Linked DNA regions of Rhinolophus ferrumequinum. The protein of the gene in region 2 purifies or fractionates together with the protein of the main gene of each other region. This does not show direct contact. Links are inferred from orthologs where the notes say so. Each region holds a gene or a part of one and is shown on either strand. Other genes may lie near its edges.

Region 1 (7,995 bases), on a different chromosome or scaffold from region 2:
AATGTCGACCAGCTGCTGGTTGCTTTTTAGCATCCCATTGGGCATCACAAACACCTTGGTTCCTGGCAGGGACATGAAGAAGGCCAAATGATTGGGGTGGGGGGCAGGACATAGCACCCCCCGACCTTTCTTTCTCCCCAGGCCCATGAGATGCCATGACCTCTGCCTTTTATCTGTCACAACCCTATCTACAAACCATGACACCACCAACAGAATCAAAAAGAGAAAACGTATGGATTAACAAATGAATGTCTCAAGTATGCTCAAAGTCTGAAGAATAAGGAAATTAAAATATGCTCTAAAGACTTAATGTGCCAACTATTAAATTGAAAAGGAAAAAAATAACACAAACTGGGACTTCTGTGAAAAATCTGCAACGTGTAGCCACCCTCAACCTCTCTTCTTTGGCAGTTCAAGGTCAAACCCTCCGTTTACCGGAAAATTAGATTGAGAGTGCTAAATCATGACCATGTTTGGAAGACTCGGGAATGGGATCTCTGGGAAATAAAATCAGATCCTGCTTCCAGGCCAGGAGAACACCAGCTCCATCCTGCTTCTCAAAGCTGCAAGCCAGGGAGTGGGTGGGGTGAGGCAGGATGGCTCTTACCTTGCAAGGCCTCTTCACACTCATCCAACCTTCGCTTCTTGTAAGTGGGCTAAGGATGTAAAGAGACAGGAATTAGGCTGCTCGCAACACTTACATGCCTATCACAAGTTACTCTTCAAGCAAGTTTAATCCTTTCTGTGACGCCACAGTTATTAATTTAGGTACAACTTACTAAGCATATACAAGGCTTTAAGAAAAGGTTCTTGCCGCAAAGCAACTTACGTTCTCACTGGTAAAACCAACCTTTCAAGAAATATTACCATATTAAGAAATTAGAGGAGATGGGTGGATACTATAAACAATAGGAAAAAATAACTAGTCAATGTAGGGTAAATAAAATTAAGGGAATATGTACAAATCTGCTGGTTCCACAAGGAAACATAATAATCAACGAACACGTATTTAGCCCCTGCTATGTACTAGGAACAATGCTAAGTGCTGGGGATACAAAGATGATTAAGTCAGTTTCTGCTTTCCAGAATTGCAAGTCCTACCAGTGAGACAAAAATGCAGACAAAGAACAATACAGTGTCATCGGTGTTACAGAATGTGGACATATAACTAACTGATAAAGACTAGGCACTAAAGATGTACAGTAAAGATAGTGACTACAGTTATACACCAAAAAAAACTACTGATCCCATAACAAGACTCAAGACATTGAAACAGATACAAAGTCTTGCTTAGAGCCATGAGGACAGACCAGATAACCTGAGGGAACCGGTAGCTATCAGTCCTACTTGAAACTCACGCTAACACAGAGTAGCATTAGCAAATTCACCCCATGCTATAAATGAAAATCAGGGTCTAAAGGGGGTGTATTGGAGTCATCATGTCTGTGAAAGTCCTCATTCCCAGATCCAAATCCCACTGTCTCCTTTGTACATGTTCAAACTGACCAAGAAATAGAGGACAGAAAATCTATTGCTTCAGAACACAAAGATAAATATAGGACACTTACACCGTCCAGTCCATCATGGCTATTGGTGAGAAGAATGGGGTCAGGGACGGGGAGATTCATATCTGAGTGGATCTGAGTTAGGTCATGGATGTTTAGGATTTGTTCCTAAAAGAGAGAAGCCCACCCCCCAAAAAAAACATTAGTCTTTTCAAGATGAACAAAGAACGTGAAGGGCAAGAAATGAGAGAGCTTTACAGTACAAAGCAAACAGAATCAATACATGATTTGTCCCATTTGACAGAAGGACCAGGGCCAAAATAATTGGGGAATCTGCAGAAAAGAAAAAGGTCTCTCACCTTCAAAAAACTATCAAGTTCTAACAACTTCTTTGGGAAAAAATTTGCCACCAAGTCTTCTGCCTAAAGATGAGGGAAAATACATTAATAATTGTGGGATGGTCTCTCTCTAGTCATCTCTCCTTTGGGAAACTCCCAATTATTCTATTTATTTCACTCACCTCACTTGTGATCCGCTCCCTGAAAGAATCAACCTAAAATTAACAAAGAGCAATTCAGTAACAGAAAGTCGGTACCTGGCAAGAGGTATGGGCTGGGTAGGGAAACCCAAATCTAGCTGTCTTTCCCTCACCTTGTTATTGTAATGAGAAGCTGCGAGGCCCCCAGATTGCAAATACTTTATTTTTTTGAGGACCCATTTCTCCATCTCAGGAGAGGGAAGCAGGGCTTGAGGTCAACACCTGCCGGTCTTCCCTCCCTCCCTCCCTGTGTCTGAGGCTGTCTGAGTTTGAGAGCAGACAAAAGACAAGTAGATAGGGGAGGTGTGAACTCATAAACGTGCCAACCCCCATCCAGCCCCAGCCTATGACATGATGTAGGACTGACGCCAATGGCAGGGGCAGCGGCGGCCTCCGGAGGCGGGGATGTTGCGGGCTGGGAACATCCAGCTGTCACTAGCATAAAGCACTGAGTCGACCACGTGTCTGCGGAAGTCTCCCCGGGGCTCTCCATCACCAAACGAGGTACTGAGGGCCACCCTATATTATCCTCTCCCCCGAAGCCATCTCGGGAGTGGGGGGCTGGGCTGAGCCTAGCGGAAGCTCAGAGCTGGTGTCCCCAGAGAGACAAAGACGCCACGGGGTGTGGGGAGCCGGTCAGATTGCTCGGGGATCGAAGCAAGGGGTACGGAGGCCCAGACCGGTGCCGCTACCTTGAGCTTTACTTCCTGATCCACCTTCAGCAGCGAGGCCATGGCCGGGCCGGGCCGTGTCCGCTCCGCTGGAGACCGGAGGCGCTGTGGGCTCCGGGGAGGGGGTCAGAGAGACGGGAGGAATCTCGGCTGCTCTTGGGACGCGTCCGCCCTCGCTGGCTCACTCACTGTTCGCTCGCTCCCCCCCTCTGCCGTCTGCCCGCCTGCCTGGGGCCAGCTGCCTGCTGCCTGCTCCCTCTTGCTCGCCCTCCCGGCTTTCGCTGCTCACGACGGAAGTTACGTCACAGCCAATAGCCGGGACTCCGGGGAGGATGCGCACGTGCTCTGCGCAGCCGCGCTGAAGGTAGGTGCTGGACTCTCCCGCCCGGCTTACATCTCCCGGGATCTTGTGCCTGGTAAGGGGGCAGTAAGAGGAAGGGTGGTGGAGACTGATTTACTGAGAATTGAGTCTCAGAGAGACTCGGGAACTGTTTGACTCTCCGTTAGCCCGGCACTCGTCTTCATCGAAGAGACCTTAGCCGCTGCCTCTTCGAGGGCAGGACCGACGACGCCGTCGCGCCCCAGTGACGTCAGACCCAGGAAGCCGGCGGTCCCGGCGCTGGCTTCGCGGGGTCTCGCCTGTGATTCCTGCTGCCGCCTCTCGTTAGCCTTAGCTCTAGTGTTAGGCTAGGCTAGAGCCAAGCAGAAGACGAGCTGTGTTGTACCAGGCTTCCCCACCTTCCTCCGCCACTTATTCTCATACACTTTCAGACCTCTGAAATCAACTGCCTCGTGAGCAAATTGACACCCGGAGTCGTGTAGGCTACACAGTGATTCCAGTAAATCCTGGACCAGATACCCTGGTCTCCTGACTTCTAGGACAATCCTGTATCCATTTTCCTAGAGGAAGGCAGAAACTCTGTCTCTTCACTCACCCATTCATTCGGTCTGTCTCTTAACATTGATTACTCCGCTCAATAAAATGGGCCAGGACACTGCTAGGCTCTGGGACAATACTGCCTTAGAGTCTAGAAATTTAACGTGAGTCACTTATGTAAGTTAAAATTTTCTAGGAACCACACTAAAAAGTAAACAAGTGAAATTAATTGTAATCATGTTTAATCCAATTTATCCAAATATCATTTCAAGGTGTAATCAACATAAAACTATTAATGAGATAATGTACATTCTTTTTTGATACTGAGTCTTTTGAAATCTGGTATGAATTTTATACTTCATTGCGCATCTCAATTCAGAAGTGCCACATTTGCAGTACTGAATAGCCATATGTGACTAGTGCCTTGTGTATTGAACAGCACAGCTCTGGGAAATCAAAGGTAAACAAAACTCAAGTTCTCCGGTCTCATGGGGCTTAATCCTGGGGAAGGACACCAGAAAGTAAACTGACGACATAATTACAAAATTTGGTAAGCGTTAGGAAACAAATGACTGATGTAGAAAATATACCAGGGGTCTATTTTAGATAGAATGGCCAAGGAAGGCCTCTCAGATGAAGTGACAATGATGCTGAGGTCTAAAGGATATAAAGGGGTTAGCGTGGGAAGAGTGAGCGGATGAGCCTTCAAGGGTATATGTGCAGCACAGGCAAATACTTGAAAAGGGTCCTATTGAAGAAATGGAAAAACTAGTGAACTTGGGATAGTAGGGAGAAGGGGGTGGGGAGGGTTATTAGGAAACAATTGGGATTAAGTGCAAAGGCAGGTCAGGTCATCTGATTTACATTTTGGGGTCACCGTTGCTGCCGAACATTTATCCTGGGCAGGCCTCTGTGCTAAGTGCCAGGGAAATGGTGGGAATACATAGTTAAATGAAGTGCAACTGACTATGTCCTTTGGGATCCGAGAGACATGGCTTCAAATCCCACCTCAGCTCTTTACTAATTGTGATGGCTTGGTAAAATTACTGAAATGCTGAGTGTCAGTTCCCTCATCTGTCAAGTGGAATTTCAATCATTAATAAATAATGTGTAATTCTTTAAGGTTGTCGTGTTGGAAATCATACATATGTAAAAGAACTAGTGCAGTACCAGGACACAAGGCAGGTACTAGATACATAGTAGCCATTATCAGATAAGTTACCTGTTAATGCTTAGCATGAAGAGGTTACCCCTTAAACTATATAATTATCATCCCTGCTTTCAGACTCAAAAGTGCTTTTCCAGTTGTTCAAGGCTACATACAACATAGCCATTATTACCTATGTGGCTTATTAACATCTAACGTTTTCCCCTTTTTCCTCTTTTTTCTATAACACTTGTCCCTAGTAATTTTTAAATTCTGATCTGGAACCTCAGGAATGCTTTCCCAAATTAACTTCACCCTATTTTAAGTATGCCATTATCCTGCATTTCTTTCAGCATTAATAACTTCAACTTGAAAACTTACTGTTTGTGCTTGTTGAAATATGGCTTTGTTCTCAGATAATTGTGTTTTGTCTTCTTCAAGTAGGTTGTAATAAGACACACATTCCTTCTCTCTTTCCCTACCTCCTCCCTTATCCAAATGTTTTATATAATACTCTACTCGTTTGTTTATTTATTCAGTTGAATAAACAATTGCTGAAGGCACCGCTATATGTAACAAATTCTGTTCATTTCTGGGTACTTATGAATCAAACGTGATCACTGAGAACTGGTCTCACTTTAAATTCATGTCCACAAATCTCAAATGGGTGCACAACACTACCCGAGATCCTACTACATGCCTCTGACAAGTTTACTCTTCCGCACTCTGAATGTCTATCATAACTTCTCATCGCCCTAAACCTCCAATAGCCCTCCTCTCCCACCTCCAATTTATGGTCTTGACTTATTCTTCACTGAGAAAACAGAAGCAAATGAGCACTGCATTTCACCACCAAATCTGCCAGCCTGCAAATGCTTTCTGCCTTTCCTCCTCTCGTTGAAGGAAACATCCCATTCCCATCAAAAAAACCAACTCTTCATTTTGTGCGTTGGAACACATCCCCTTTCACTTTCTCAAGATCTGTGCTTCAGTGATTACCCATTTTTCCTGTATTACATTTATCTCTGTCAACTGGACCTCATCCAAACATGATAAATATCTCCCATCTTGAGAAAAACCCTCCCTTGAACACAGATTCCTCTCGCTATCACTCTGTTTCTGTGCTCTGCTTTATGGCAAGACTTCTTGAATGATACTATTGTCTCATGCTACTTCCTCATCTCCCATTTACTCCACTCCAATCAGGCGTTCCCATTCCATGTTATCACTGAGATAGTTCTGGTTAGGTTACCAATGACTTCCATATTGACAGCACCAGGGGTCACTTCTCCATCTTTCTTGAATCTTTCAGTACTCAACACCTGTAGGCTGGTGGTCCTAAATTTATTTCTCCATTCCTTACATCTAACAGCTCCAGTTGTCTACTTGACATCTCTACTTGGATAGCTAATGGGCATCTCAAACTTAATATGGCCAAAACAGAATTCTCAGTTCTCCCACATACCTCTTTCTTTCCTGCTCTTTCCCATCTCAGTAACTGACATGACTGTCCACCTAGTTACTCAGACATCTAATTATCAACCTTGATTCCTCTCTTTTCCTCATCTCCCCACATTCAACCATTAGCAGTTCCTGTGAGCTTTACCTGTATAATGAATCCTGTATGAGTATGCTTTTCTCCATCTCCTCACTTGTTATCCTACTCAAAGCCATTGTCATCCTTTGCTAACACTATTACAATGGACAATCGAGTCTCCATTTTCACTCTTGCCACCACCCCCACTGATACATTCTATTCTCTGCTCACACCCAAATTATCTTTTAATATGTCAACCATAGTTATGGTAGTATCTACTAAAACAATAAATATATAGATACATATTTCTATATATATATGTGACTCAGAAATCCGAACTCTAGAAACATACCCAACAGAAATGCATAAATATATTCACCAAGAACACAAACAAGAATGTTAATAACACCACTATTCACAATAGCCTCAACTGACAACTGTCGACGAGGGTTGTGGGGAGCGAGGAGGGTGGCGCAGGGTTAAGAAAAGACTAGCCATGAATAGAGTGTAAGTGTGGCCAAGGAACTCCAGCCTCAAGGACTGGGCCCCGAATGGGGCAAACGCCTAGTTTTTATTACTTAGGTGGGGAAGTAAAGGAGATAAAGCTTGTCAATCTCAAGATCTGTGAATCCCACACATCACAGCAGGAAACTGATTCAAGCCAATCACCCCTGCCTGCAGGCAGCTGAACTTTAAGTCTCAGGAAGTATGTACTTCCCCAAGGGACAAAATCTTTATGCATATGAATAGATGGAGAGCACACCATTGAATCTCTTCCCTTGCAGGTTGTGGGAAGGAATGCAGCCACAGAGGCAGAGGCTCTCCGTGGGGGGGGGGGGGGGGTAGGGGATGTGCCCTCCTCTATGAACCCCGTGGGTTCTCCTGTTGGTCCCCACTCGACTGCGCCTGGCTTCAGTTGTCCGCCCCCCGCACCCCCCCCATGGGGAATCTTACTCATCATTGGCTGACGAGCCATCTTTTTGGGGCCAAACAGGGAGACATAAGGTGCAAGCACAAAGGTGAAGCAAAGTCCCTGAAAGGATCTGGCTCACAGACTCTCCTTTCTTTAGGGGCAGGTACATGGGGACAGACGGGTAGGCTGCTGTGTGGCAACAGGCAACTACTCAAATGTCTCTCAAGAGTAGGATAGATAACTAAATTTTAATGTATTCACACAACGGAATACTGCATAGTATTGAGAATAGATGAACTAAAACTATACACAAGATGGAGGAATCACAATACTGAATAAAAGGAGGAGGTTGGGGAGCTGGGTGAAAAAGGTGAAGGGATTAAGAAGAACAAATTGGTAGTTACTAACTAGTCACGGGGATGTAAAGTACAACATAGGGAATACAGCCAATAATATTGTAGTAACTATGTATAGTGCCAGGTGGGTACTAGACTTAGCAAGGGGATCACTTCATAAATTATATAAAGGTTTAACCACTGTGCTGTACACCTGAAATGAATACAAAATATTGAATATCAACTGTGATTGAAAAATAAAATTTTAAAAATAAACCATAAAAGTACATACTCTATGGTTCCATTTACATGATGTTCAAAACATTCTATGGTGTTAGAATTGAGGAAATTATTTACCCTTGTGGTGAGCAGCAACTGGAAGGGGCCATAGGGCAGGACAGTTGAGCGCTGGTTATATGGGTGTGTTCATTTGTGAAAATTCACTGAGCTGTACACTTAGGATTTGTGTCTT
Region 2 (7,971 bases):
CTTAAGCCAACTCCAATCTGGTTGCCATTCCCAGTAACCACTCTTGTCAGTGTCACTTATGCCCTTGTTTCCTGTGCTTTTAATGAAAATCTTTTTAGCAGAATGTCAAGGAAAACTAAAGAGTTTAATTTTTCTTCAGTAAATAAATTTGTCCTCATAACAAAGGATTCTGGAAGTTGTAAAAGGAAGCTTAAGGTGTTCATTTTGGGCAGTATTCTATCACTGTATTCTATAATGCATAATAAGGTGTGAGATTATGCTTTTTTTGTAGTATAGTTGACTGTTTTAGGTGTCTGTTTAAGAAGAGCATATGTTAAAGTTGAATGCCTTTTGAGCACTATTCCCCTGAAAAAGACCAAAAGTTTTGACGTTGGAATATTGATTTTTTAGCTGGTTATTAAGAAAAGACTCAGAAATGGGGTGGCTGGTTAGCTCAGTTGGTTAGCACGTGATGCTAACAACACCAAGGTTGCCAGTTTGATCTCTGTACAGGTCACAGTGAGATCCTTTAAAAAAAAAAGAAAAGGAAAGGAAAAGAAAAGACTCAGAAATAAACTTTGACCCACCCCCCTTTCCTGCCTAAGAGATTCAGATGGAAAGACCTACATCAGGAAGGAAATGTTAGGATGTTCGCTTTAGCAGCCTAATTTGAATTGAGTGTGATGGATGGGAGGGCCTCAAGCTGGGGCCTGTTTACTAGATTACTCCTGCGTCTGTTGTTTCTGGGTTGCCTAGCAGAAATTTACTTGCCATGTACTGCTCTTCCTCAACGACCTGTAAATTGCCTACTTCCTTTGAAATCTCAGACCCCTACCTGCCTTTTCTCCTTTGTTGAAAGTAACAACATAATATATGTACCCAATTTTACCTCACAGTCTTTGGAATTTTCATGCTTATGTGAATTCCCCGAGTTCTCCTGTTACTCCGCCTCTGTTAATTTGATTATTAGCCCAGCTAGAAGAGCTTAGAAAGTGGAAGGAAAAGTATTATTATTTTTTTAGCCCCACACCCCAAGTCCAGCAAGTGTTCTCTTCCCTCGAATTCAGTTAAGTAAAGCTATCTACCATGTCCGTGTATCCAGTCAGCTTTTGAAAGGTAGATTCATATTACTGACAAACTAGGTAGGACCTTGCTCCTTGATAAGCAGATAATTACATTCGTGGCTCACCACAGTCTGCCCCGGCTCTATGTATCCAGCTTTGTCTTCCAAAATTCCCCACCCCAAACTCTTTGCTGTAGCCAAGCTGGTTTTCTGTCCGTCCCCAAATTGTAAAATGGGCATTTATATGTCTAGGATTTTGCTAAGGCCTTTGTTCTTCTCTAAAATCTTCTTTCCTTTCCCTTTGCCTGTCCTTCAAGACTTGTTTCAGATTCCATTGATGTAGAGTATTTTCTTTGTGCTGGGATGGTGTCCCATGAAACCGAAGAATGGAAGCACGGACCAAGGAGAGGTGAGGAGTTGTACAAGAGGATAGTTTATTAAAAGTGAAGAGTAAAGAGTCACAGCTCTTGGAATGAGACGGGGTCCCGACTGGGTTGCCCAACATGGGACAAAAGCTCTGGTTTTTATATCTTCCCTTGCCTGCTTGGAGAATGGGGCTGGCGCCTTCTAATGGCATTCGTCTATCAGGTTTGTCCTGTTTGCCCACCCTAAAGGGATTAACAACCCATTCCTATCTATCAGATCTGCTCCTTTGGCTATAAGAGAATTATGAGATAATTTATTAACCTCAAGGCACATTCTTATACCTTTGTCCTGGGACTTCCCTGTCTACCTAACAACATTCTAACTAACCTGTCTCACTATTTTCATTTGTTTATTCCGTAAACACATCTGAGTGCCTAGCATATGCAATGCACTCTCAGGAATGCTAAGGTACAACAAAACAATGCCTATCCTATGTAATTTATATCCTAGCAGGAAAATGATACATTACAAAATGAATTAATTTTTAATTGAAATAAAATTTAATTACTACAATTGAGATAAATGTTGAAAATATGAGGCACAGGAAAATAGGACTAACTTTAATGGGGAATGAACCAGTTTAGGTGATCAGAAAGGCTTTCTCCTACATTGTTGATACAACCTTTTTAGACAGCAATATGGCAATATATTAACTCACACAGATCCTTTAACCCAGTGATTACATTTTTGAGACTTAATCATGTAACAGTAAAAGTACCAGTACTTAAAGCAGCATGTGACTTTAGTTCCTAGAAAAGCTGCAAATGTTATAAGGTATGATATCTAAGCAAAGCTTCCCAAGAGGTCATGTCTCTAAACTAGCCTGGTGGATTGAGGTCAGCAAATGAAGGTAATCCAATGTGCCACAAAGTACTATTCAAGGGGGTGGACTCACGAGATGCGTGTAGAGAAAAGGACTAAAACACTTTTCTTGATCTACCCAACAGAATCTAATATAATAAACACTCTATAAATATTTGTGGAAGGAGATACAGGCGATGGGGAAGGAACAGGTTTAAATATGTTTGGTAGAGAGAAAGAGATAACCATTAAGCGATTATTGGCATGATGAATCATTGCAGAACCTCTAAATGAATAGTGGGAGGGAGTGAAAAAGAGATACTTGATCAGGCTGGCAAAATAAAACAGAAAAAGTGAAGAAAGCAAAGTAAAACAAATAATAGACACCAATGGAAGAGATAAGATCAACATTGTACAACATTGTAGTTACTCCAATGAATGTAAATGGATTGAATTTACCTATCAAATGAAAAAAATCTTTCATATTGGGTGTAAAATTCAGCTAGGTGTTGTGCATATAAAACACATAAAACCACGTGAGCATATAACAAGAAGGATCCTATTCACAATCCACAAATACCATCAAAATATTTCAGAATACACCTAGCAAGTGTAAGATGTGAATGATAAAAGCTATAAAATTTTAGTGAATGTATTAGTTTCCTATTGCTTCAGTAACAAATAACCGCAAACTTAGTGGCTTACATCAACCCAAATCTATTATCTTACAGTTCTGTAGGTGAGAAGTCTTACTGGGCTAAAGTCAAGGAGTCAGCAGGGATGCCAGATGGACTGGACTCTTCTTGGAGGCCTAGGGGAGAATCAACAACAACTTGCTCAACCAGGTGTTTCAGTTCTATGAGGACTGAGATATTTTCTTTGTGATTGTCACCTGGGAGCCATCCTTAGCTCCTAGCCGGCTCTCTCAGGTCTTTGCAGAAAGCTCCCAACATTTCAAAGGCAGCAACAGGGCAAGGAATTCTCATGCTTTGAGTGTCTTTTGTGATTAGATTGGGCCTACCCAATCAGGATAATCTCATCCCAAGTTCCTTAATTTTAGTCACTGTAAAATTCCTTTTGTTTTTTAAGGTAACATAATCTCAGGTTCTGGGAATTAGGGTATGGACACCTTTGGGGGCTATTAATCTGCCTACCACAGTGAAGGACATAAAAAAATTTAGAGAAAAGTGTCACATTCTTGGATGGGAAGATGTGGTATTGTAAAGATGTCATTTCTGCCTAAATTAGCCTACAAATTCTGTGCAAGATGCTTTAATGATGATTTGGAATTGGGCGAGTGGATAGATGCTCAGAGAAGACTGTACTGTTTAGAAAAACAAGGGATCACTGACATCCCTTGTAGACTTTAACTCAAGTAGATTGCACATATTCTGGAGACAAAAAAACACCAGTATTCTGCACGAGAGCAAAATAACGTTTCCTGTTGTGTTTTCAGTACTTTTTCTAGTCACCATATTTGAGGCACATATTTGACTCATACTATAATCTATCTACAGATTCCTACCACTTTTTCCTTATTCATACCAAGAGCTCAAGCAAGATTGCATCATTTTATATAATTTCACATTATTTCCCCCAACACACCATTTTTACACTTGTCAAATCTGAAACTCATTTTATTTTTCGGTCCATTTACACAGCTTCATGAGAACTTTCAGAAAAAATTCCTGGCAGATGGGCACTGTCTTCTCAGTTTACTTGTGATAGCACTTTGTTTCTAAAGAAACATTTCTTCACTTATTTCCATCATGTTTTCCTCAGAGAAGTGGATGATACTGTGGACAGTGCCAAGCAAGACTGCTAACACCGGTGGGTGGATTCCATGATAAGGTTTTTTATTCCCTCCACTTCTGTGTATTTTTGGGAATGTGGGGGTGAAGGTGAACAAGAGAAAAATGAGTTTGTATCTCCAAGTAAAGTGGCTTTTGTAAAAATGCCACCCTTGATTGCAATGTAATGACTGACTCTCACTCTCCCCACAGATGGTTAGTTGATTCAATAAAAAGTGATTTCAAGGGAATTGTCATGCTTTAATTAGCAACAAGTATGTTTGGAATGTATCCTGTTTATAAATCCTTGGAAATAGTCACGGTTGTTTAATCCCCAACATGAAGCACAGTGAACTCAGAATGATATCTCGGACATCATCGACCCCTTTGATTAAAGGTCACCTAAGGGTGTCTTTGCATTCTTTCTCTACCTATCTTACACTGACTAGACAAAACATGGAAGTAAAAAGCTTTTCTAAGTTAATATTGCATTTTCAGGAATCCTGTGACGCCGGGAAGGATCCGGAAGCGGTCGCCCCCCACCCCGCGGCCGGCCTGACCCTGGTCCGGAGGCAGTGGCCAGGAAACGTCCAGGGAGACACAGCCCGGCCTGCAGCTTCCCAGAGGTGGAGGCAACGACGCAGTCAGCATTAGCTGGGTAGAGAGTTCTGGATCCCGGCGTCACTCCGCGCAGGATCTCCTCACCCTAGGGTTCCAAAACAAAGCCACCACGGGCCGCCAAATACCCGGATGGAGCAGCACCACCTTCCCTCCTCCCCCAGCCCCCTCCACACACTTCCCGCCAAAGGCTGGGTCGTACAAGGGCCTCCAGGAGGCCTTTGCGGGAGGCCAGGGGCGGGGCGTGGGGGCAGGGAGAGGAGGCCACGCCCATTGCACCACCGCTTCTGCGCATACTCCGTACTTCAGCTTCTGGTACTTTCGATGCGTCGGCCGACGCCCAGCTCATTCCGCGTCGGGACGTCGGAGGTGTCGTGTGTGACATTGCTGCTGGAGAGTAGCTGCCCCAAAGCCCCGCTTCGTCCTCAGCTGTGGAGGAAGGCGTCCGTTGGGCCTTTCTCTTCGTCATAAGTGAGGCGTCGGCGACCTGTGGTAAATATTCTGGTGACGGGGTCGGACCCGCGGAAACCTCAGCGTGGGTGGCAGGGAAAGTGCGGGGCCCTGTGTGGCGAACAAAGTGGGGCCGGTGGGGCGGAAAGCTCGGCGTCTGGCGTCGGCAGCACTAGGATCAGGCGAGGCTCGTTCCTTTCCCCGGGCTTCCCCGCCTTCTCCCGCGCGGCTTCCGGAACTTCATTCCCCTCCCCCACTTGTTTGTTCTTAGGAACAGACTGTTCCGGAAGGAGCCTCCAAAACAAGGAAGCGCCACACCGGAGTCCGTTATGTCCAACTACGTGAACGACATGTGGCCGGGGTCGCCGCAGGAGGCCCGGTCGACGTCGGGCCGGTCCAGCCGGCTGTCCTCCGTGACGCGGAGCCACTCGAGAAGCTCGCGATCCAGTTCCGGCGTCTCCAGTCAGTGGTCGTCCAGGAGTCGGAGCCGGCCCCGGCGCCGGAGCAGGTCCGGGAGGTCCAGGTCTCGTTCCCGAAGGCGCCACCAGAGGAAGTACAGGCGCTACTCGCGGTCGTACTCGCGGAGCCGCTCGCCATCCCGCAGCCGCCGCGGGTACTGGGAGAGGCACTACCCTTCCTCGCGGAGGTACTACCGCTCTCCCTCGCCAGACCGATCCCGCAGCCGGTCCCGCTCTCGGGGACGGTCGTATTCCCGAAGGGCCTACGCCGTAACGCGGGGCCGACGCTACTACGGCTTTGGTCGCACGGTGTACCCGGAGGAGCACAGGAGTGGGCGCGGGAGATCCAGGACGCGGTCACGGAGCCCAACCCCATTTCGCTTAAGTGAAAAAGGTGAGCGTTTGGGGTCGAGGCGCAGGTGACTTCTCCTTGGGCACCTTTTTATGCGTGTGGCGGTAGTATGAGCCGGCGAGGGAACCAAAGTTGCTGTGTAGTTACAATGTTTTTGTTTTGTTTGGTGCCTGAAATTTCAATATTTTGGGAGGAAAGGGAGGACTTAAAACTAATAGTTAACACTGCACTGTAGTTGACACCCAGTGTTCACATGGACACCATTTCTTCCCCCTTTGGGATTAAGCTGTAGGTGTTAGATGGCTCAGGGTGGAGGTAACTTTTTCTCCTGGTGGCTGGCAGTTCTTAGTGGAGTCTTCTAAATGTTAAGTGACTTGTTGACTAGCCTTAAGCTCTGCTAAGATGACTATTGAACGGGAAGAAGAGAATCAAAACACTGCTTTTAAAAAAATTAACATTGTATTACTAAAAAGGATTTTGTTGCAGTATTTTATCCAGTATTGTGGTATACTGGATAAGATCATGGAACAGAAAGAAGGGTAAACATCTTTCTTTTGCTATTCTAAATAAAACACGAGCTTATTTTGTGATTCCTGAGTCCTTTTGGGGAGATAGTACAGGATTAATGAATATCTTGTGTTTCTTTTGTAGATCGAATGGAGCTGTTAGAAATAGCAAAAGCCAATGCAGCAAAAGCCTTAGGAACAACCAACTTTGAATTGCCTCCTAGTCTCAGAACTGTTCTTGTATCTAAAGAAACAAGCCGTGGGACAGCTGTAACAAATAATGGTGCAAAGTTGGAGGTAAGTATTCAAGGATTATCCAGACAAAATCTTCAGAAAGCTACTGCCAGAAAGAGCTGATTAGCCATTTTTATTTGATTTACCTTAGACGACTACTTGGAAAGGCTAGTCAAACATTTGTGAAAATCAAAATAGCAGATCTGATGGTACTAGACATGGTCTCCCATAAAAATGGGAGATTAATGAAATTTATTTTCAATTGACACAATTACTTTCATGATTGTAGCTGGTACCTTGGTGATTTTTGTGTAGTTATCAAATTTTTCTAACTATACAGAGTATCTGTAGCTTGCATTTGCAGCATTTTGTTCCCTCAAATTCTGTATTCAACATACAGTATAGTTTATCTGCTTTATTTCTGTCTTATAGAAATCATGAATGTGGTCTCCAGACATTGATGAAGAAAATCTGTTGGTAATTGATACATGGGCATTAAGCATCAGATGTTTAACTAATTTGAAGTTTATGTTCACACACTGAAAGCTTAGTTTTTTTGTTGGTAGATCCATGTGCATGCTAGAATTTGGGATAGGTACTATTTGGAAAAGATATTAAAGACAATTTTTAAACAAAAGTACACTTTGTAATGGTGGGGCATCTGTGATATAGATGTCTCTTTCATAATAAATGCAATATATTCCAGATGGTTTGAGAGATTACAGAAGAAGAGGCCTGCTTCACTTGCAGATAAGTTTCACAATTCTCCAGAAGTGTGCTGGATGTGCATTGGCAAATTGCACTGTGCTTTTAAAGTTATGTGAAACCCAAAGCATAAAATCCATAGCTTTGAAGGTTTAAGGTAGTTAGGAATTGTTAGAATCAGTTAAAAGAGGAAAGATGTCTAGATGAACCTATCATTCAGACCCAGATGTAGATATGCTTACGTATTAGTAGTAGACAAAGACGATCTTACTTCAGTTGTTCTTTTCAGATGATTAGATGCCCAACTGGCAAATGCCTTAGTTCTTTGAAACTATTTATTACCTGGTATAATTTTACTGTCAGTTACTTTATTGGGGAATAGAACACTGCTTTATGGGGTAGAGTGTCTTAATCAGGCCTATTAGGCCAATTTTGTGCTCAACAGAGTACAGTGTTGTTTAGACAGTTAACTATATGGTTAGCTCCAACTTGATTTGTGTCTGTACAACCAAATTTATATATAATTGGGCTGCTTTGTATACAGTACTGTAAACCAAAGTTACGGTTTTTAAAAAATAAATTTTCTCTT

What was found.
Region 1: the proteins of RSRP1 (region 2) and PSME3 purify together in Homo sapiens (affinity purification with mass spectrometry; 3 studies listed by BioGRID and IntAct, counting the BioPlex papers as one, with this or other methods). This does not show direct contact. The link is inferred for Rhinolophus ferrumequinum from reciprocal best matches to the Homo sapiens genes RSRP1 and PSME3.

What each region holds. Positions count from the first base shown.
Region 1 is NC_046304.1:38,471,461-38,479,455, reverse strand, and holds the start of PSME3 (proteasome activator complex subunit 3), read right to left. Parts: upstream 3,006-7,995; 5' UTR 2,778-3,005; coding exon 2,736-2,777; intron 2,059-2,735; coding exon 2,026-2,058; intron 1,928-2,025; coding exon 1,865-1,927; intron 1,674-1,864; coding exon 1,569-1,673; intron 657-1,568; coding exon 608-656; intron 63-607; coding exon 1-62. UniProt on the Homo sapiens protein: Subunit of the 11S REG-gamma (also called PA28-gamma) proteasome regulator, a doughnut-shaped homoheptamer which associates with the proteasome. 11S REG-gamma activates the trypsin-like catalytic subunit of the proteasome but inhibits the chymotrypsin-like and postglutamyl-preferring (PGPH) subunits.
Region 2 is NC_046292.1:17,297,677-17,305,647, reverse strand, and holds the start of RSRP1 (arginine/serine-rich protein 1), read left to right. Parts: upstream 1-4,966; 5' UTR 4,967-5,169; intron 5,170-5,398; 5' UTR 5,399-5,456; coding exon 5,457-5,979; intron 5,980-6,588; coding exon 6,589-6,740; intron 6,741-7,971.